Cricetulus griseus: one gene and its partner. The protein of the gene in region 2 purifies or fractionates together with the protein of the main gene of each other region. This does not show direct contact. Links are inferred from orthologs where the notes say so. Each region holds a gene or a part of one and is shown on either strand. Other genes may lie near its edges.

What was found. Proteins that work in one complex are often made in the same cells at the same time.
Region 1: the proteins of Slc34a2 (region 2) and Endod1 purify together in Homo sapiens (co-immunoprecipitation; 3 studies listed by BioGRID and IntAct, counting the BioPlex papers as one, with this or other methods). This does not show direct contact. The link is inferred for Cricetulus griseus from reciprocal best matches to the Homo sapiens genes SLC34A2 and ENDOD1.

The regions. Positions count from the first base shown.
Region 1 is NC_048597.1:127,844,432-127,854,916, reverse strand, and holds the start of Endod1 (endonuclease domain-containing 1 protein), read left to right. Parts: upstream 1-5,350; 5' UTR 5,351-5,629; coding exon 5,630-5,929; intron 5,930-6,165; exon of another isoform or gene 6,166-6,258; coding exon of another isoform or gene 6,259-6,312; intron 6,313-10,485. UniProt on the Homo sapiens protein: May act as a DNase and a RNase. Plays a role in the modulation of innate immune signaling through the cGAS-STING pathway by interacting with RNF26.
Region 2 is NW_023276807.1:121,292,696-121,303,469, reverse strand, and holds the start of Slc34a2 (sodium-dependent phosphate transport protein 2B), read right to left. Parts: upstream 5,347-10,774; coding exon 5,235-5,346; intron 5,144-5,234; coding exon 5,006-5,143; intron 4,170-5,005; coding exon 4,041-4,169; intron 2,341-4,040; coding exon 2,197-2,340; intron 1,676-2,196; coding exon 1,564-1,675; intron 1-1,563. UniProt on the Homo sapiens protein: Involved in actively transporting phosphate into cells via Na(+) cotransport.

The DNA.
Region 1 (10,485 bases), on a different chromosome or scaffold from region 2:
ACCCAAATTAGGTTAACTTCCTCATTGTGTGTTGATTCTCTTTAATGCTGGAGACTCTACAGAGAGGAGTGCCAAAGACACAGCCTCAGGAGCCTAGAAATAACTGAATATTCTAGTTACAGTCATGTTCTAACATGTCTCAATTACACTGGCTTCCACCATTGCTACTGTCTGCCTAAACTGTCAGCTGTACCACTATGATGACAGAATTTCTTTCCTGCCTGGTCCCACGACAATTTCTTCCCAAATAAACACACAAAGGTTTATATCAATTATAAACTGTTTGGCTGATGGCTCAGATTTCTTACTGGCTAGCCCTCTCTTAATTATTAACCCATTTCTATTAAATTATGTATTGTCATGAGATTGTGGCTTACCCATAATGCTCCAGCATGTTATTCCTGTGGTGGTTACATTGCATATCTCTCTCTCTCTCTCTCTCTCTCTCTCTCTCTCTCTCTCTCTCTCTCTCTCTGACTCATCCTCTGTCTCTCTTTTCCCAGTCTTCTAACTGGCTACTGGCCAATCAGCATTTATTCACCAACCAATAAGAGAAACATATATTCACAGCATACAGAAGGACATCCCCCATCACAACTACATATAATAGTTCCTCCATCCAATTATTTTGTGCCTAGTTTTGCTTGTCTGTGTTTCTTGTCATGTTTCAACTCCTGTGACATGGAGGTCACCTGACCTTGCTTTCATTTGATAGTTCAGAGCTTTGTGACTTTGCAAAGCCCATGCTGTAGTCAGAGTTTATTTTCCACCTGGTCTAGCCATTTAATTCCAAAAAAAACACACTGACACTTATAGTAATTATAAACTGCATGGCCGATGGCTCAGGCTTTTTATTGGCTAGCTCTCTGTTAATTATTAACCCATATCCATTAATCTATGTATTTCCACATGGTCTCGCACTTACTGGTGATGCCTGGTCCCTTTTCTTCCTTGGCAGCTACATAATATCTCTCCGGCGGCCCCTCTCTGCCTTCCTCTACCCAGCGTTCTCCTAGTCTGGTAGCCCCACCTATACTTCCTGCCTGGTTACTGGCCAATCAGCATTTTATTTAACCAATAACAGAAACATCTATTCACAGCATACAGAAAGGAGGACATTCCCCATCATGTACCTTGCTCTTTCTGTCTCAGGCAGAAGCTTCTGGGGCATTGCTGACTTCTGCTTTCTCTTCTGAGAGCCCACCTGGATCCAAAAGGTGCTGGAGTGAGAATACCGGGGAACATGGGAACAAAATGAGGTTCTATTTCCTCTGAATACCCAGCAGATAGTGCAGTCACTGGCTCGTGGTGGGCATTTAAGAAACTTTCTGGCTGCTTCTTCAGTGGGAAACAACAAAATAGTGGATGACACTGTGTAGCAGGAGGCCCCAGAGGATGAGGTGGCCTAGGATTAGGAGGCCAGCAACTGCCTTAGGGGCCATGATCTTGGTCAAGGCCAGGGGGCTCCTGGAGGTAAAGCCAAAGAAAAGAGTGGATCTCTGTCACCAAGTTGGGCTGCCTGGTCAAGGACATGAAAATCAAGTCCCCAGAAATCTGCTTGTTCCCTCTGCCTACTAGGGAATCTGAGATTATTAACTTTTTCCTGGGCACAACCCTAAAGGATGAGATTCTGAAGATCATGCCCGTGCAGAAACAGTGGACCAGATTCAAAGCTTTTGACGCTATCAGGGACTATAATGGTCATGTTGATCTTGGGGTTAAGTGGTCCAAGTAGCCACTGCCATCCAAGGGCCCATTATCTTGGCCAAGCTTTCCATTGTGCCTGTGTGGATAGGCTATTGGAACAAGATTGGCAAGCCCCAAACTGTTCCATGCAAGGTGACATCCACTGTGTGTGTTGGTTCATCTCATCCTTGTCCCCAGAGGCACTGGCATTGCTTCTGCTCCTGTGCCCAAGAAGCTACTGATGATGGCTGGTATTGATGACTGCTGCACATCAGCCAGGGCCTGTACTTCCACCCTGTGCAACTTTGCCTAGTCCTCCTTTGATGCCTCTCCAAGACCTACAGCTACCCGGCCCCCGACCTCTGGAAAGAGACTGTGCTCACCTAGTCTCCATCAGGAATTCACTGACCATCTTGTGAAAACCCTCAACGGAGTCTCTGTTCAGAGGGCCCAGGCTCCAGCTGTAGCCACCACATAAAGGTTTTTATACAAGAAAAATAAAGTGAATTAAGTCTGTTAAGAGAGAGAGAGAGAGAGAGAGAGAGAGAGAGAGAGAGAGAGAGATTTTTCTGAGACAGATCCCAGATGCATTTCTCTGCATTCTCATGGTGGCTCACATTGTCTATAACTCCAGTTCTAGGGGATCCGACATCCTCTGATGGCCTCTACTGGCACCAGGCATACAAGTGGTTCACAGACCACAGGCAGAAAAACACTCACACACATAAAATATTAGGAAAGGAGGCATTCTGAGAGAAAATGGACTGGATCTATAAAGCCTAGATGAAGTGTCTTAGAGAAAAGTCTTTTCCCCCCGCCCCCCTCTTTTCCTTTCTTCCTTCTCCCTCCCTGCATTGGAATTTGACTTTAAAACAGACACATAGTTCCTATCTAAAGGTGAAAGCAATTATAGCACAGGTGGAGGAGGGAGTGCTGGGCTTAACAGGGGCTAAACCTCAAGTTGGGTGTGTGTGGGGTGGAGTAAGTATAAGGTTGTTGGGAAGCTGAGTGGCTTCAGGGTGTGAGGTAGGTAGGACAGACTGTAAGGGAAAAGCAAGCAAAGGGGAGAGAAAAGTACTTCCTGATGCAGAGGTTCAGGGTCCAGGGGAATGCGCATGCTTATGGAGCTGGAGAAACTGAACAGCTCCAAGGGCATGGCGCAATGAGGGAGTGGTAAGAGAGGAGACCTAAGAAAGAGGGGCAGTGGTGTGTGTGTGTGTGTGTGTGTGTGTGTGTGTGTGTGTGTGTGTGTGCTGGTTTTATTGGAAGGCATGGGAAGAGTGATTGGAGAGTGTGCAAGTAGAGTTATGGAGTCATATTTTTGGTAGGAGGTCACCCCATTTGCAAAGTAGAGTGGGAAGAGTTGGAGCAATGAGGGCCTGGTGCATTTAGTGTGGTGGTAGGGTGCAGTCCTCACAGTATGGGGACAAGGGAGGCTCATACTTTCAAACAACTAGAACCCAAACCACAGAAGCATACAGTGATGCCATTGTATTTCATCTCACCACTGTCTCTTGCTCAGGCCTCAGCTGGACAGGTGCTGTGTGGCTGTGAGGAGAGATCTAAAGGAGCTCAAGCCAAAACTGCCCCCTCTGTGAGCAGCGTCAGCAGAAAAAGGGAGACTCAGGGTGACCAAGGCAAAAACAGCAGGGACAGACTGATGGGCATTCCTGGGTGTTGCTAAGACAAGCTGCCCCTGGAATAAGTGTTCAGCAAATATTTGAATCAGTTCTAGGCCTTCCCACCCTGTAATTTTTTTTTCAGAAACTTGGAGCAAGGAAATTTGCAACTTTCAAAAGCAAATTCAAAATTATAATTTTTATCGTCAAAAGGTGAGCATGTAAAAAAAAAACAATCACAAAGCAAAACAAAACAAAAAGCTAAAACAATGTCTCATACTGTGAGCAAAAGCAAGTCAAGTAGAAGACACTATCTGTGGGGTGTGCAAATGTTGTTTATATCTGACAGCCACTCATAGGAGACTGAGATGAAACTCAAGGATACCGTGAGGGTAAGGTAATGGGGCAGAGGTATGTATGCTGTGTGTGTGTGGTGTGTGTGTGTGTGTGTGTGTGTGTGTGTGTGTGTGTGTGTGTGTGTGTGTGTTGTGTGTGTGTGTGTGTGTGTGTGTGTGGTGTGCCAGCAGGAGATGTCCACTTCAACTCTCACTGGCCTGAGACTCAACAATTAGGCGAGCCTCTCCTTCCAGCCCCAAGGACCCACCTTCCTCTACCTCTCCAGCATGAAATTGCAAGCCTGTGTCATTGTGCCCTGCTTTTTGACTCAGGTTCTGTGCATCAAACTCAAATAGACTCTCATGCTTATATCTGAATTGATACTCCCAAGTTTGTGTGGTAATCACTGTGACCTCTAAACCATCTCCCCAGCCTGCTTTTGCTTTTCATTCTTTCTGACCGCTCTAGTACATCATTCTCTGCTCAGAAATATGATGGAAAGATCCAAGTTTTCAACAATTTTTTTATTGGTTTTGTTTGATTTTTCTTTTTGAGATTGGTCTTGCTTTGTAGCCCAGGCTGGTCTCAAATTCTTAATTCTCCTGGTCCCTTCTCTCTAGAGTCACCCTGTTTGGCTCATTAACCTAATTTATAATATTCTTTCCAAACATCGGGTTATAATATAATCCATTAGTGCTTCTGAGAAAACATTTAAGTCAGCGGCTAGTTGTCACTTTTTAAGTTTAATTAATTCATTAGTTTTTAGACAGGGTCTCAAGCCCACCCTGCCTTTGGACTCCTGCTCCCCCTACTTCTACTCCTCTCTGTGCAGATCACCACACCTACTTTATACAGTGCCTGGAATGGGACCCAGGGCTTCTACATACTAGGCAAGCACTCCACCCACTAAGCAACACCCCAGCCCGTTTCCTTTGGTCTGTATACCATCAGCCTTCTCAAGTTCTTCCCACTTGCCTCTCCCTCCTGGAGAAAGTCGCCCTAGCTTGGGCTGCTTCCCTCCTGCTTCAGTTCAGATGTCATCTTTTCCTAAAGTCCTGTAGGAGTCACGCAGTGGGTTCACGTTGGGTTTTCAGTGATCCCCCTAACAGGATACCTTTGAATTAACAGCAAGCTGTACTCACCACACAGAGCCCCTGCTCTTGTTTGCTATCACTATACTAATTCCAGGTAGAGGTGTGCGGGGCATACAAGCAGTGGGAGGAATAAAGGATGTTTGCAGTCTCTTTCCGTGCTGAATTTCAGTTTGATGTCTAACCCAAGCAAGGAAACCACAGCAGGGCTGTGTTGTCAGCCTAGGAACTTCCTTTAACGGGGATTTATTTGTTTGTTTGTATTTATTTATTTGATGCAGGGTCTTACGGAGCCCTGTTGAACTTTGAATGATGTATCCCCTTGCCTCTACCACCGTGACTGCCTTTTACCGGGTTTCTTTTCTTGTTTTTGTTTTCGGGACAGGGTTTCTTTGTGTAACAGTACTGGCTCTCCAGGAACTAACTCTATAGGCCAGGCTGACGTCGAACTCACAGAGATCATCCTGCCTCTGCTACCCGAGTGCTGGGATTAAAAGCGTTTTCACCACCGCCCAGGGTCTGATGCGGAAGGGCAGGCACAGGCTCCGGAGAGCATTGCTGTGAGGGCATCTCCCGCCCCTGTGCATCCCCCGCCCCTGTGCATCCCGGAGGGCCCTGGTGCGAGCCAGCCGTGGCTTCTCAGTCCCAGCCCCGGGGACCGTCCCTTGGTCTAGGCCAGACCAGCGCGGAGGGGTGAGTCTGGCACTCCGCAGCAACGCGGTAGCAGGTGACCAGTCTCCACGCACCGGTGCAGCAGCAGAAAGCCGGGCCGAGCCCTGCAGCCATCTTCGGGGTGGAGGCGGAGAAGGGGCGCGGCCTTGGTCCGGAGCCGCCCCGCCGGAGCTGCACAGCGCGGACTTCCCTGCTCCTGCGGAGCCTGGCCGCGCAGAGGCCGCCATGGGCTGTGCGCGCTGGCTCGCCCTGGGCGGCCTCCTGGCCCTGGTGGGGCTGCTGCAGGCCCGGCTGCTGCTCCCGCACCAAGCGGGCTTCGGAGAGTGCGACCGCTTCTTCTACGCAGGGACCCCACCCGCCGGGCTGGCAACCGAGACGCACGTGAGGATCTGTCAGCGCTTCGCTGGCGCCGAGCGCTTTGCCACCCTGTATAGCCCGGACCACCGCATCCCCGTGTTCTCAGCATTTCGCGCTGCTCGCCCGGCGCCCCTTAGTGCTGAGCAGCGCGGGCTTCTGGAGCCGCAGGTAAGCAGCGTTCAGCCAGCGCCGGCGGGTGGGTGGGTGTAGGAGACGGGGAGGGACGGGAAGGGACGGATGGACCCAAGGCTCAAGATCCACCCCACCCCCTCCAATTGCAGCCTGCCTTGCCCTGGTGGGAGTCGCCACTTAAGCTGCAAGGGTAGGAGGTTCCCTGGGGAGTTGGCCCTCCCTCCTCGTGGGCGCAGACGTCTGCAGTGTCTGCTTGGTTTCCTGGGTAGTAGAGGACCTGGACTGGGAGACAGCACTAGGAGATCGCGAGATCCACGGGAAGCACAGGCCCGCGCTCGTCCCCTCTGTAGCATTCATTCGGGGTGATGGGCAAGTTCACCCCATTTTACAGAATCAGGAGCTTGCAGACCACCCAGCTGGTAAGATGAGCTGCTCTTGAGGCTAGAAAGTCACTGCCCTTTCGGCTATGGGAAAGCTGAGAGTGCACACAGACTTGGAGAAGAAGCTCAGTGGGGTAGTACCCACGGAGGAAAGGACAAACCAGTTTTTCCTGACTCTTCACATCTATAGATTATCAGACCATTGGCAATCATGTCACCTTTCACCGTGTTGGGTCTGTCTGGTGGGAGGGATCAAACACTCAGGCCTCTATGGGTCCTGCAGAGCCTGCTGACCGGCTCTCCTCTGCCAGATCTCCTACAATACCTGTCCTGCCTCTCTTTGACCTCACCCCAGCCTTCCAGCCCTGCATGTCCACAGCCTTTGGTTCCTGATGGCCACCATCACAAAAGTTCAGGCTTTCAGGTGGCTCCGCGTGAATGTGTGGGCTGTTTATCATATTTCCAGCTGTCAGATCTTGGCCATGCAGGCTTCAGGCAGTCTGCACCTATATTTCCTTCTTACATCCTTCCTTCCAGCAGCTTGCTAATCTCAGTTCTTGGGAGACCAGGCCAGTGAAAAGTTACTATCGTGTGAATGTAGGGAAGACACATGCCAATCTAAAATTACTTTGCCCCAGAGTACCACTACAACCTGAAGTTCTTTATGTTCCCTGGGTCTGGGAAGAGAGCAGCAACTTAGTCCATTCTCACCAAGGAGCTCATTAGCGTCTGGAGGGACAAACATACACAGGGGGAAGTCATGAGAATTCTTGATACACCTGGTGAGCACCTGCTGCCTGTCTGTGTGCATTCAAATCCTGATTCCTCTAGACTGGCTGTTGATTCATGAGGACTATAGGATGATAATAACATAGGATGCTTGGGGGTGATTAAGTGAGTTACTATATGGTCAGTTCTCCAGAGGCACAGGACACATAAGTGCTAGCTACTCTTGTGCGGTTCACAAAACACATAATTTAACCAAGGTAAGCAGAGCCCTCTTAGACTTAATCCATTGGTAAGGTGATAGGGAAAAGCTTTAGGGTCTGGCTGGCATTTGAGCTGAGCCTGGAAAGATTAGGTAGGGTTCAGGAACAGGGAGGAAGAAGAAATTTCAGCCTGGCATTGTATGAGATGGGCATGGCAGATTCTTGGATCAATCCTTGGGAATGATTGGGGTAGGTAAGCTAATACTGTATTATATGCCATGGAACCTAAGGACTCAGAAGAAAGGGAGTTATAGGAGGAAGGAGCAGGGGAAGGAATCACCAGGGGAGACATAGGCAGAGCCGTGGACCTGCTATTAAGGAAATCATAGAGAACAGGGTTTGGCAGTGAGGCTGTAAAGACCCTGGGTGGAGTAATGGGGTGAGGCTGTAGAGAGATGGAGGTGGAGAGCTGAGGGAATAGTTCCAAATGGCAGCTGGAGCTGTGAGATGCCCTGGCTTCTGGAAGGCACTGGAGGATTGGACTGTGGCTCAGTGGGTAGAGTGTTTGCCTGGCATGCACTTGGCTGTATGTTTTATCCCCAACACTGTATATAATGGGGCTCATGCATACAGTTCCAGCATGTAGATCAGACATTCAAGGTCATCCTCAGGCTGCACAGTGAGTTTCAGGCCAGCCGGGGCTACATGAGAATGTTGTTGGTCAAGGAAGCAAGCAAGCAAGCAAGCAAGCAAGCAAACAAGTTAATTCCCCTCCCCCAATGCTGTTGGAGAGTCGCCAAGGCTGAGATGAGAACAGAGGCTACTTTTCTCTGCAGGGTGATGGCAAGTTCTCTTGCTAACTTGAGGTCAGCAAGGGGACCAAAGAACACTGAAGGGAAGGAAAGAGGGAGGGAGGAGACAGAAGCGCAGGTGCCTCTGGAACTACTGCAGCAGGCTGCCCCTGCCTCTGTCCAAGACCTGCCTGCCTGCCTCTCAGCCAATGTCCCACTGCAAGTCCTGCTCAGGGCTCAGTGTGTACTTCTAGCTGCTTCCAAGAAGTTTCTGTTGCCAAGTCCTTTTGTGCCCATATCACCTTATGAGGTCAGCATGACCAAGATGTCCAGGAGGCAGGAGGCAGGCAGTTCAGTACGGGCCTATTACAATGAGTCAGGCAGGGTGGCGCCAGCCCAGCTGGGCAGCCAGGCAGCTCTCCGACAGCCTGCAATTGCCCCTGAAGAAGACCTCGGAATGGAAGATGCAGAAATGTAGTCACCTTTGCTTTGTATTGTATTTGAGGCATTGTATTTAACACCTTGGGGACAAAGTTCAAGCAGCAGACTGGCACTTCCGTTCACAAGACCCTTTGGGTGTTGGATCTTAGTTCCTGGCCAAGTCCTATCCCTTCTGTCACCACACTCCACAGGAATGTTGCCAGGCCTGCATTACCTGTGGTCCCCTGGAATGCCTTTCTCACATAGCTCTCATCAACCATGACCTTTCACCTTCTTCCACTCTATCCTTACACCTTTGCTGGAATGTCTTCTCCCAAAGTACTTCCCACCTGAACAGACCCTCCTCCGAAGTTATGACCACACTCCTATGCTCTTCTGTACTAGACTCTGTCTCTTCATTCTCCACAGGGTCTTGCCTAGGCTGTCCCCAAGTTCACTATCGACCTGCCTCCACCTCTCTAGTATGGGAATTACAGGCTTTGGCCACCATGTCAGATTTTTTTTTCCTCCTCCCACTTCTTCCAAGACAGGGTTTCTGAGTGTAGCCATGGCTATCCTGGAGCTCATTTTGTATAAATCAGGCTGTCCTCAAACTCAGGAATCCTCCTGTCTCTGCTTCCTGAATGCTGAGAATAAAGGCATGTCAGTTTTGATTCCTTCATTTTTGTACTTACTGCAGTGTTTTGTAATTGTCTGTTCCTATTGTCTGTCTGTCTCCCCTGCCTGAGCCCTTGAATTCTGGCTGAGGATGTAGGACATAGGTTACTCATTCTTGCAAACACAGAGCTTAGCACATAGGAAGAATTTAATTAATGATAGATCAAATAACTATGAGCCGGAGATTCACTCGGGTGCAGTGGTGAGTGGCTCTGTGTGGATGCTTTTGTTGGGGTGTTTCCCTGGTCATAAACTTGTCCTTATTGCTGGAAAGCAGCCTCTGCTGTCAACACGTTTACTGGTAGAGCTCAGAGCCTTTCTCTAGTTTCCCTTCCAACATTAGCTCTAGCACTAGTTAAGGGCCTTGGGACTTTGAGGCCTTGGTTTCCATCTGTGCTCACAGGCCCTAGGGTCCCCAGCCCTTCGTCCTGGTGATAAAAGCTTGAAGGACAGAAGAGCAATGTAGAGGGAACCAGAGAAAGCCCTGTGGCCTACTGGAGAGAGGCTCACCTTTGAACCTAACGTGGACAGATGGTGAGAGGCAGAGGGGGACATACCTTCCCATGACTATCCTGTCAGCAGACATTTCACCCAAGACTCCAGAACCTAAGAGCAGTGTTGTATTTAAGGAATAGGGTCTGCCACATCCTCAGTGGCAAATAGAATATTTTTGTGTATGATACCAATGATTTCCAAAGTATACTCATGCCCAAATCAAGCACGAAAGACCTTATTTTATAAACATGAGCATTACAGGGGAATGGCCTTACAGCCAGTGATGGCCGTGTATATTCATTGATCTTAAAAAGATACATTAAGATAGAGTCATCACTGTCTCTTCATTGTTGACACAAAGAAATTGGTTCAGAGTGGTTAACTGGTGTCTGGGGTCACACAGCTTGGATTTCAAAACATGACCCATTGTATTTAGTCGAGTGTTATTTTTATATACATGGGGAGTCTCATGTCTCTTTCATATGAGAATCTGAATTTCTACTCTTTCTCTTTTCCACTGTCACAGACAAGTGAGAACACGCATGCAGATGCAGAAATACTGTTTGAGCTCCAGTGGCTCTGCAGTGATGGGGATGCCTTAGAAGGTTGTATTTCATATTTCAGTAAATACACATGAAGTTGTCCCCCTTAGAACCTTGAGTCCTCAGTCTTTAGTTGCTGACAGTTGCTTCCTGCCTACACACCCAGAGGCAGCTGGCCACACTGTTTAATTTATTGCAACCTCAGCCCCCTCTTCATTGCATCAGAGAACAAATGTGTAGAAGCCACCACACACTGAAGTCTCTGTGTACAGGGTGCAGCAGACAGGACAGTTCTGGGTTTTGCTTCTTGATAAAAGGCTTAGTTCAGATTCCTGGCCTGCCATGTACAGGTGTGTG
Region 2 (10,774 bases):
GCCATCTTAACAGCCCCCAAATTCTAAACCTTTAAAAGTTCAAAATTCTGAGACACACAACTTTCAAATTAAGAAATTAGCCCAAGCCAGGCAAAAAACAAACACTGCCATAGGCTTTCTTCTCAATGAAAATTGAAAAGGTTCCTTCTAGAAACATCCCCATGCCAGAAAATACCTACCACTAGGTATATTTGGTATATGACACTCTTCTTGATATATGCCACTCTCCTTCAAGCACTTGATACGCACATGGGGAAATAATTTCACCAGTAAAAGAAATGTACTGAAAGTTCCAGTGTTTGCTCTATGGCATTAGCTACTCTCATTCATCCTGGAGAAGGCAATGTAAGAGCCTTCATATACTGCAGATGAAATAGAAAATGATTCAAACATTTCCCGGTGCTTGGCAAAATGTACAAGAGCTCTATAAACACTTGATACAGTAATTATCGTAGATATCTAAAGCAATAATCCAAACCTCTGAGAAGGATGTCTCACACACACACAACCAATTCCACATACTGAAATAGTATACTTAAATAGTACAGGGACGGGGGGATAGGATGAGTCAGTTATATCCAAGCACATGGGCACCACAATAGGTCTTGAGCTTCTATTCTATAGGCTATTAGGCAGCAATCAGGTTTAAGTATTCATGAGATGAGCCCAAATTTTCCAGAATTGAAACCTAACTGGAATCCTGGCTGTGCCAGTCAATGACATCACTTTGTCTCCTTTGACTACAAGATGAATAAAGACGGCTGTCTGGCTTGATGAGAAGATCAAATTAAAGAGTGCCTGCTTTAATGTGTATTATCATGTCCATCAAGACATGTCATCAGGAACCAAATGAGGTGGCTCAGGTAGATGGACCACTGTGATAACCGATCACCAACCAGCAGACACGACAAACATGACCTGTTTCCCAACAACCTGCTATAATGTCATCTACTTGACCACACCAGGATGGCATCATAGACAAGTTGAGAATTGCTTCTATATTTTAATAAGCTCTGGTAAGAGTCTCTCACTGGGTAGAAACGCTGGGAAGCATGCCTAATTTCCATGTTAACATTTTAAGAGGGTTTCCCTTTGCCCATTTCCAACTGCCCTATTTTTGTATCTTACACGTCATAAACTGTGTTTGCCTTTGCCAGCTTACAGGTGAAGGGGTAGTTAGTTGAGCTAGCCAAAAATGGAAGTTTTAGGAAGTTATAATTATCTATGACTAAAAGACAGTAAAGTCTGCCCCAACTGGCCTTGTTTTAATGCTACCACCCAGCAGTACATGTCCAGCTAGTGCGTACCTTTCATGTATCCTGTCGCAGTGCCAGGTGCTTGCTTGCATGACTGTTTAATCATTACAATAACTTAGTGGTGCTGGATATTATTATTCTGGCTCTACAGATTAGTAAGTGGATTTTAATCAACTAGGATTCCCAATCCTAGTCGACTCTTGGGGCTCTGTACAGACAAACTCTGTACAGACACCTTTGTGATTAGATAAAGGCATTGACTCAAACAACAGACCTGGTGGGAACAAAGCCCCCCTAAGACTCCTACCTTCTGAACTCATTCCGGTCTCCTGCCTGCATAAGTGCCACAATAGTATTGGTGATGGAGGTTCCGATGTTGGCCCCCATGATGATGGGGATGGCAGCCCGCACGGTCAGTACTGAAGGTTAGAAAAGAACTGTGAGGCAGCCTGCAAGGCAGGGGAGTCATGTTCTACACATCCCAATGTGGGCTGAATGCACCGCAGCTATTTTCTATGTGGGGAGGGGTCCATACATAACAATACACAGAGGGGAGTGTATTGAAATCTAGAGAGGCGAGTCAATGAACCTGCCTGACTCCATTCTTGAATGTAATTTTAGGGCACTAGCTGACCCCCTGAAGCCCTATGGACCTTGCTTTAAAACTCCCCTGTCTTCTACGACCGAGCTCAAGCCATCTCACAGGACACCAGGAATCAGTCAGTGATTAAAGGAATGGATGAGTCCCAGAGTTGATAAGGACACCGGTTATGTGGCACAAACGCTCATGAGACACTGTGTGTTGTATAGATTAGGCTGTCCTCAAATTCACAATGCAGAAAAATTCTCATTAATTTTGGCTAAAATACTGGCATAAGTAAAAGAGATAAGAAGTTAATTGTGTCATGACGTAGACAGAATTAGAGCAAATCCAACTCACATGAGGAAGCAACCATGCTGACAACGATGGACGAAGATGTGCTGGAGCTTTGCACCATGACGGTCACCAGCACCCCAATCACTAGCCCAGCCACAGGATTAGCCATGATGGAGTTATTGCTGAAGAACTGGCCAGCTACTTTTCCTGAAAGACAAATGGTGGTTGTGTGAGGACAGACAGGGGTGGTAGCACCTAGTCCTAATGTCCACACGAGATCAGATGTCTGTAGGGTTGGAGCCCAGACTTCAGCTCAGCTGGGTCGTGCTTCCTGTTCTTTTTTCCTTGCACTGCTCTGAAGGAATCTCTGTCTGGCAATGTGAGCCTGGATCCACCTCCATGTCTTTGACATGGTTTAGCTCCATACTCAGTTATGGGTCTTATCTCTTCACTCTCTGGCTTCCCACCTTGAACCCCAGCCCCACTCCCAAATCAGCCAGCTTTTTTTCCAGTCTCCTCTGATCACGAACCAGGCTTAGTATAGATTGTAATTCCTCTATTCTTTATTCTTTAGCACCTCCCGCTGCAACTGACTCATCACTGAATTCTAGGGGTTTCTTTGGGAGTGTACCTATGTGACCCTCAGTCCTTCTCCAACCCATTTTATAATGGATGCCTAGACAGGGACTGGGTGTGAATTGTCCAAGATAATCATTATCATAAGTCAAGCCCCTTATGAATGTTCCTAAGGGCCAGGGAGACTTATCACATTCAACCTGTCAGGGCCCTAACAATTGACCTACCTCCCACCCCACATCACTCATGCCAAAAAGATCAGCCCTGCAAGGCATGGTGGCTCATGCCTTCAATTCCAGAACTTGGGAAGCAGAGATGGAGGATGTCTGTGAGTTCCAATCCAGCCAGAAATAGTGAGACCCTGACCTAAAACACGCTTGGAAAGGGTGTGGTGGAGCACTCCATTAATCCTAGCAGAGGCGAATGAATCTGAAAGCTAGTGGGCAATCTGGTCTAAATAGGGAGTTTCAGAACATCCAGATAGAGTCTCAAAGAGAAAGAAAGAAAGAAAGAAAGAAAGAAAGAAAGAAAGAAAGAAAGAAAGAAAGAAAGAAAGAAAGGGAAGGAAGGAAGAAAGGAACAAAGAAAGAAAATAAAAAGAAGAAGAAGACTTTTTAAATTTCTATTTATTTAGCTCAAGGCAGCAAGAGAAGCAGAATCCACAGGCTTTTGTGTCACTCTGATCTGTGCTCTGGAACCCCACTGTGTTCATTACAGGCTGTGTTTACAGTCTGGTTAGTTAGTGACCTCTGAGCCTTGGTCCTCTCTTACAAGTGGGAGAGACTTTAGGAAGGACTACTCCAGACAGGGCTACTCAGTGTGCTATCTGTTGTCACACATGAAGGGTCCAAAGTTAACTGAGCACATATGGCCATTTCACTTTTGGGTTTCTGGAACACGGGCCACTTTGTTCAGGGCTCAGTCCAGGGAAGGCATCTACTGTGGGTTTTTTCCAGCAAGAGCCGGCTTTGATCTTTCCTACTTGCTTTGGCCTGAGAGATTTTTTTTTCTCCCACACTCTCTAGACAGAAGCCTAGAGACAGCAGGGATTCCCAGATAAAAGGAGTTAACAATTTCCTTCTGGGATTTAGGTACAATAGGAGGGACTCTGATAACTACAATCAACTCCAAACCTGGCTCCTGGCTTAAGCTGCCTGAGCCACTTAGAAGCTTCAGTCCTCTTCTCCATGAGGAAAGTCTGAGCTGCTGTCAGGTCTGTCCTCACCCACGCCCAACCATGTTGAAGCATGAGGCTGAGGCGGCCTGTGAGCTGCGTCCACCTGACATGAAATTCAGGAGTCATGAATAGAGAGGCCTCAGGGGGTCCTTACCTCCAACCAGTTGGAAGGCACTGCTGAGTACATCCAGGGAGCATACGAAGAAGTAGAGGAAGCCCAGGAGAAGAAGGAATTTCCCAATCCCCTGAAAAATGCAGAGAATCTTCCCTTTGGTGTCTCTCTCTGTGGGGGGAAGTGGGGAAGGAGGGCATAACAGTTAGCATCTTTCCAGCTAGAACAGAGATGTTTACCACGGGAGCTCTCTGCTCTGCCTTCCACCACCGGCTCCTGAATCAAGGCCTGGAGGTGGGACAGCCTCCAGTGCAGCAGGTTCCTGGCAGTTCTCTTTGAGATGCATTTCACTGGACCCTCCTTCATGTTCCTGGAGTCAGAGTGGAGCGGAGAGCTCACTGTGGTCTGGGCCCAGAGAAGCAGCCCACCAGAATGGATGTTCAAGTGAACCTCAATGTCACTGAGAAAGCATGTGCCACCGATGCAGAGTCACAGGCAACGGCTTCACAAAGCACCTTCAGAACCGCACACACACCTTAAATCCCAGCACTGGGGAGGCAGTGGCAGGCAGATTTCTGTGAGTTCGAGGACAGCCTGGTCTACAAAGCAAGTTCCAGAATAGCACAGATATCAAAGCTGCAAGCTGTGCAAGCTGAAATCATAGCTGCAGTTTGTTGAGGGCCAGGGCCTTAGACTTCCCGCTAAGCTACAAAAGTGTCTTTTCACCTCTCCTACCCAACTCCCTTCCCCTCCTACCACCCAAGCCTATCCTAGCTGACTGGTCCACAGGCTGATTGTAACCCCACATCTGGAACAAACAGAAATAAGCTTTTGTTCACCCCAGCTTTGCTGGCTGTATTCTCAGCACTTCTTTTAAAGCCTGTCTGTTAGGGCCTTGATCCCTAGTTATTATTCTTTAGAACCCTGGTCCATGTGACATAAAGGTCAACACTGGACTGGCTGGGTCCTTCTTGCTGGTCCCTGCTGGATGCTGGACATCCACGTACCTGACCATTTGATTCCGGTGTCCCGGAGTTCAGGCAGGTCCCAGGGGTCATTCACCTCAGCGGGCTCCTCTATCAGGACCACGGTGGAACAGGAAGGTAGAAGTTCAATCTTGGTTACAGGAGTGCCACTGTCATCTGCTCAAACAAATAGCAAAGGCCATGAGGAATGAGAGCTAAATCTCTGTGGGTCCTTGAAGGGGGCCTGTCCCAATTGGTGAGGAACACTTACTTTTGCTGGTTTCCTTGTTCTTGGCTGCTGCGTTAGACTGTGGATCTGAGTCCCCTTCAATGAATTTATTGGGGTTGGGCTGGGCATTTTCCAACTCGGGCCACGGAGCCATGATCTGCAAAAGAGAAGAAAGACAGCGCTTGAGGATGCAGCCTCTGATGTAAAAGTTGCCTGAGAGAAAGCCATTCCTTGCAATTCTTAGGAATGGGAGACAGGAAAAGAGGTATTTACACCAATGGACTCTGCTAGTTACACCGAGGCAAGTTCAACTGCAAATCAGCACCAAACCTCCTTACCCAGTGGTCTCGACATCCACATACGTTAATGCCAGTATGTGATGCATACTCCTAGACAGCCCACCTGTTTTTCCTACCATGTAGGTCTTCCGTGAAAGTATGACAAAGTGTCACTCATGAGTTGATGTGCCTCAGGACTAAATACCTTTCTTTATGCCTTCAATCACTTGGTACCAGTTTCTCCTGTAAAATGGGACAATTCTTCATACTTCTTGAGCTATGAGATTGATAATGAGGCTAAAAGGCTGATAGATTGCAACTATCACTGGGTCACCCTATCATGATCAATGGCCCTTTATCAGAGCTTCATTGTTTCCAGCCCCTGGGAGGACTTCCTCATAACCCATTTTCTCCACAATACCCTTCTTAGTTACATGCCAGCTCACCTGGCTGGCCACCGCTTGCAGCCTATCCAGACACCATGAAGCAAAACAATCCAAAGAACAGAAAATTCACAGAAAAGGAAGTACAAACAGCTAAGAGTTTAGCCTCATCAGCAATTCAAGATATGCAAATCAAGTGGCATTGGCAGAGTGTAATCTACTGTTGTGCTGTGGTAGCCTGAGGCGTGCAGCTTCTCCATGGGTTCAAGGCCAGCCTCCGTCATGTAGTGGAGCTCTGGGGCAGCCTGAACTAGAGAAGGAGCATATCTCCAAAGATGTACCATGCTGGAACACAGCTAGGAAGCTCTCAAAAATGATGGCACTGTGGCTATCCTGCATCTTTGGCCTACTCATTTCTCTTATGGGAATTAGAAGGGAAGAAACATTAGCTCTCAGAAACACCTGCCTTATCCTCATCAATTCCCCTGAGAGGATTCCCAGAACCAGGGTCCAACTGGCCTCTATTTCCTGCTTACCAAAGGACAAGCACTACCAAGAAAGGGGCATCCTTAGGCCCTGAAGCTCTGCCTGGCCCTCAATAAGGCCCAATACATATTTATACCAAAAGGTATTTCCTGCTGTGTTCTAATGAAGGCAGATCATGAAGTAACAAAAAGCAGATCATTAAAGGTAGTAAGGGAAAACAAACACAGGCAAGTGCTTTTTATGATGAATAAGAGGCATACTTTGTCCCAATTCTGGCAAGGTTACAAGAGGGTAACTAGGATCCACTATCATTCAGAGTCGGGATGGGATAGCAACATCTATCCAACTTCAGGTTAAAAGGGCTGATTCTACCCAGGTATGTGGCTTGGTGATTTTGAGGCCAGCCTGGCTCAAAACTAAGCTCTCAGGTGGGAAAGGCAGTCACAACCATGACCTGAGTCCGTGTATGCCACTCCCTGAATTAATAATGCCAAGTAAGGAACACACTAGGACCCTAGTATTTGGGAGGTAAGGGTTGGAAGGTTGCACGTTCCAGACATACACAGGATAATGTAGTGAGAAGATACCTTATCCCTCATCCCCACCAAATCAGGGACTCCTGGTCTAAGCACATTTCCTGATGCATTGTGGGGAAACACCTGAGTGAAGGAGTAAGCTACAGGGATTTGTCTGAGTTAATATCAGGAATGAAATGTTTCAGACTGAAGGTCCAGCACAAGGCAAGTGAATGCCTTGCCTCACCTCACATGGAAAATGGAGCCAGTGGCACACTTCCTGGTCACACAAGGCAGGTGGGAGGAGGAATCTGACTCACAGCTCAAACCCAAGCTTCCTGTGTATGGGAGGAGTCTGTGACCTGCATTCTCCCTGGGGCTATCAACCTGTACACTGGTGCTATTGGACATCTCTACTTCAAGTTCACCCCAGTTTAAGCTAACTCTTTCTTCATTCTTCAGTCAGACACCCGTTCCCTTCAGCAGAACTTTCCTGTTTGTAACTTCTGCCATCATTGTCCCAGACTTTCAAAATCATCTCTGATCGTTCCCAAATCTTCCAGACCTAGTGGCTCTACCTGGAAGAATTTCCTGACTCAGCTTGCATATCATCCCACCAGCCTGGGCCCCTACAGCTAGCTCCTAACTGAATGGATGTCACAACTTCCCTAGTGGGTCCCCCACATCTTCCCATGGGAGACCCTTCCTCACACAGCTGTGCAATACACGGTCTCCCCTCCCCTCCCACATTCTACTACCCATTGCTGTCCTCAATTGACCTCTCTTCTCTAGATTACTTCCCCCACAGTGCAGCCCTGCCACTTTGGGGTTCCACTTCTATCCTGATACAGACAGTGCTTCAGTACTAAACTCAGATCCTCCCTCCTCTCTGCTCTGCCTTGTCGTCCTCTATCCTGGCACGTGCTGGCTGTGTGACTCATCTGGCACTCCATCACATATCACTATGACATCTCTTAATCTCTAATAACTAGGACCATTTAATGATCGTCAGAGAGCTGCCCTGTCCCAAGCTGGTACCTGATATACACATTCTTATTCAGGCTTTCTGCACAAAAAGCATGGTGAACAGTACCGCAGAAGCAGCCGAACAGCCGAAAAGACAGCACTTTACACAGTTCTGCCAGGTTGGGACCTCACCCAAGATACTAAAGGGCGACATCAACACTACTTGTCTCCCTGCAGTAGTTTTACTTATGGAATTGGGAAAGGGTGGCGGACCATGACTGGTGTATGATTTACATTTCAGATAAGCTGTTTTCATGAACTGAGGTGTTTATTAACCTAAACATTGACAACTGGGGCATACAGGTCTCTGATGAGGGTGGGGCTGGGGGTTGGGGGCTGGGGGGTGGGGGTCCTGTGTACTGAGGAATATTTAGCATCAGCCCTGTCTCTACTAAATGCCAAGGCTTTCACCCTAATTTTGACAACGTCTTCAAACATTGGCAGATATCCTAAGGGACTAAAGACAGTTTCCAGAGGAAGTTAGCTTTTTAGATTGCAACTTCCTGGATGTTAAAGACCAGTTTTGCTTTTGTGACATTGGGCAAGTCCTTTTGTCTTTGAGTTTCTCTGTATGCAAAATGACAACTGTGCTAATTAATGGGGCTTCTTAGAACAGTGTCCAGCACACTGTAGCCCTTGTGATTATGCTGTGCCTTGCTAAAATGACCACAGGAAATAATTCTATCACTAGGAGTTACAGGATTAAAACTGCAAGCTGAGTGTAGTGGCACACCTGTAATCCTGGCACTTGGAGGAAGAGGAAAGATAGCAAGTCCAAGACAGTCAAGTCATCAGTAAGACTCTATCTCAAAAAGAGGAGATAAAAAGCATTGAAGCTCATGCCAATTGCAGCATTCAGGTGGCAGCACTCAAGCCTGAGTTCAAGGCCAGCCTAGGCTATCTAAGGCTACACAGTGATACCTGGTCTCCAGATGCGCCCCTACCCAACAATAAAAAATCCAGCTTTAAGCTGGGCAAGGCAGTGAACTCATGTAATTCTGGAATTTGCGAGGCTGATGCAGGAGAATGGCATGATGTAGGTCAGACCAGGATAGTGAAACAAAAAGCAGGTATGTACACACACACACACACACACACACACACACACACACATGCCTTTAGGATTGCAATGGGCTATTGTTGTTACCCAAGGGACTAAAGGTCTCACATAATGGGCTCTGTATTCTTGGAGGCACACTGAAAAATTTGTAAAGCCATTCCCTGCTTTTATCCATCTCCTACTTCTAATAATCTTAAATGCAAGGACTGTTTTCCCCTCATGAACCTTTATTCCACCTTCACAAACTAAATTCTCAGAGGGCAGTAACCAGCTGACTTCTCTTCCAGTGCCCTGGGGAATCAACACAGCAACCAAATGGAAAAGCCAGTATTCAGGGCTTGCAAGTATTCAGCAGTATTCAGCAGGCAAGTGCCACTGGGGTTGTTATTTCCCTGTTAGCTACAAGATGTGTTCTGTGACCAGATTTCTATGACTAGCCAGGACCCAAACAGAAAGAATGTCTCCAGTCTCTGTGGCAGGTTGGCACTATCTTCATCCACCTTCAGTGACACCAATTATTTAGTAGTTTGTCCCATCAAAAGAGACACATTTTTGGTTTGTTTGTTTGTTTTTGTTTTTCAAGACAGGGTTTCTCTGTGGCTTTGGAAGCTGTCCTGGAACTAGCTTTTGTAGACCAGGCTAGTCTCGAACTCACAGAGATCCACCTGCCTCTGCCTGGGATTAAAGGCGTGTGCCACCAATGCCCAGCATTCTTATAGATTACCTATGCTCCTTCTTGGGATGCCGCCTTATTCTAAGTTTGGTTATTCAGGTACACTTCATTAACACTTCCCCTAGGAAGCAATTCTGGTACTCAGTCTCCTCCATCACCATTCATGCCATATCCTGATACATCAGGAAAGGAGCCAGAGATCCACACACTAGGCAAAACCACCTTGGGCAAACATCTGGGAGCATAGTCCAGCCAGCCCTGGCTCTCTAAAATGGCTAGCCACCTCCTTCCTGACTCTACCCCGACAGCGGCATGTATCCTGAAAGTAGGAAATGCAAGACATCTGGCAACGATGCAGCCATGCCACTCTGCTGCTCTGGCACACAGGCCCCATTCTCCCAGCCTCCTGTGATCTCTGTGCAGGGTGACCCACAGTCTGCAGTTGGAACTCTGGAGCAAGCAAACACCCTACAATTAGCCCCTGGAGTAAGTCAACATCAAGTGATAGTCTGTGGAGACTATAGTGTCTGGCATGCAGAGTGAGACAGAGTGTGGTGGAGGGTGGCCAGCCCTGAAGATCCCTCTAGACTTCAATGTCATTATTTCAAAAATGGAAGTGTGTCATATTCCTCCCAGAGCTGTTAAGAAGACTAATTGACAGTACGTGTAGGTCAGGCCTGAGCACTGCCTGGCAGAGTCACCCAAACTAGAGAAATGAGTTGCATCATGAACTAGTCTAAGCTGCACTTGGTCTACGTGGAGAGTCCATTGCCAGCCATGGGCACAGTAAGGATCCCAAGGGCTATAAGTGATGTCTTGTGACATGATCCTTCAAAGGGAGAATGAAGCAGAGGCAAACAGCACTGAGGAAGCAGTCTATAGTCACACTACTACCTGGGGGGACATTATTCCAACAAAGAAGGATTTTTTTTCTTTCCAGGATACAATCCCTAGAAAGAAGGAATTTTTCTTTCCAGGATACAATAAAATGAAGGCAAAGGGGTGGTAAAAAACCCAAAAACTTGTCCAAGTCACATAGCTCAATGTGTGTCTGTGCATGTGCATACATGTGTGTGAACCCAAGGACACACTTTCAAAGCCAGAAACCTTCATATACCATAAAACTTCACAGCCAGGGGGCATAGGGAAGCCTTCAAGCCA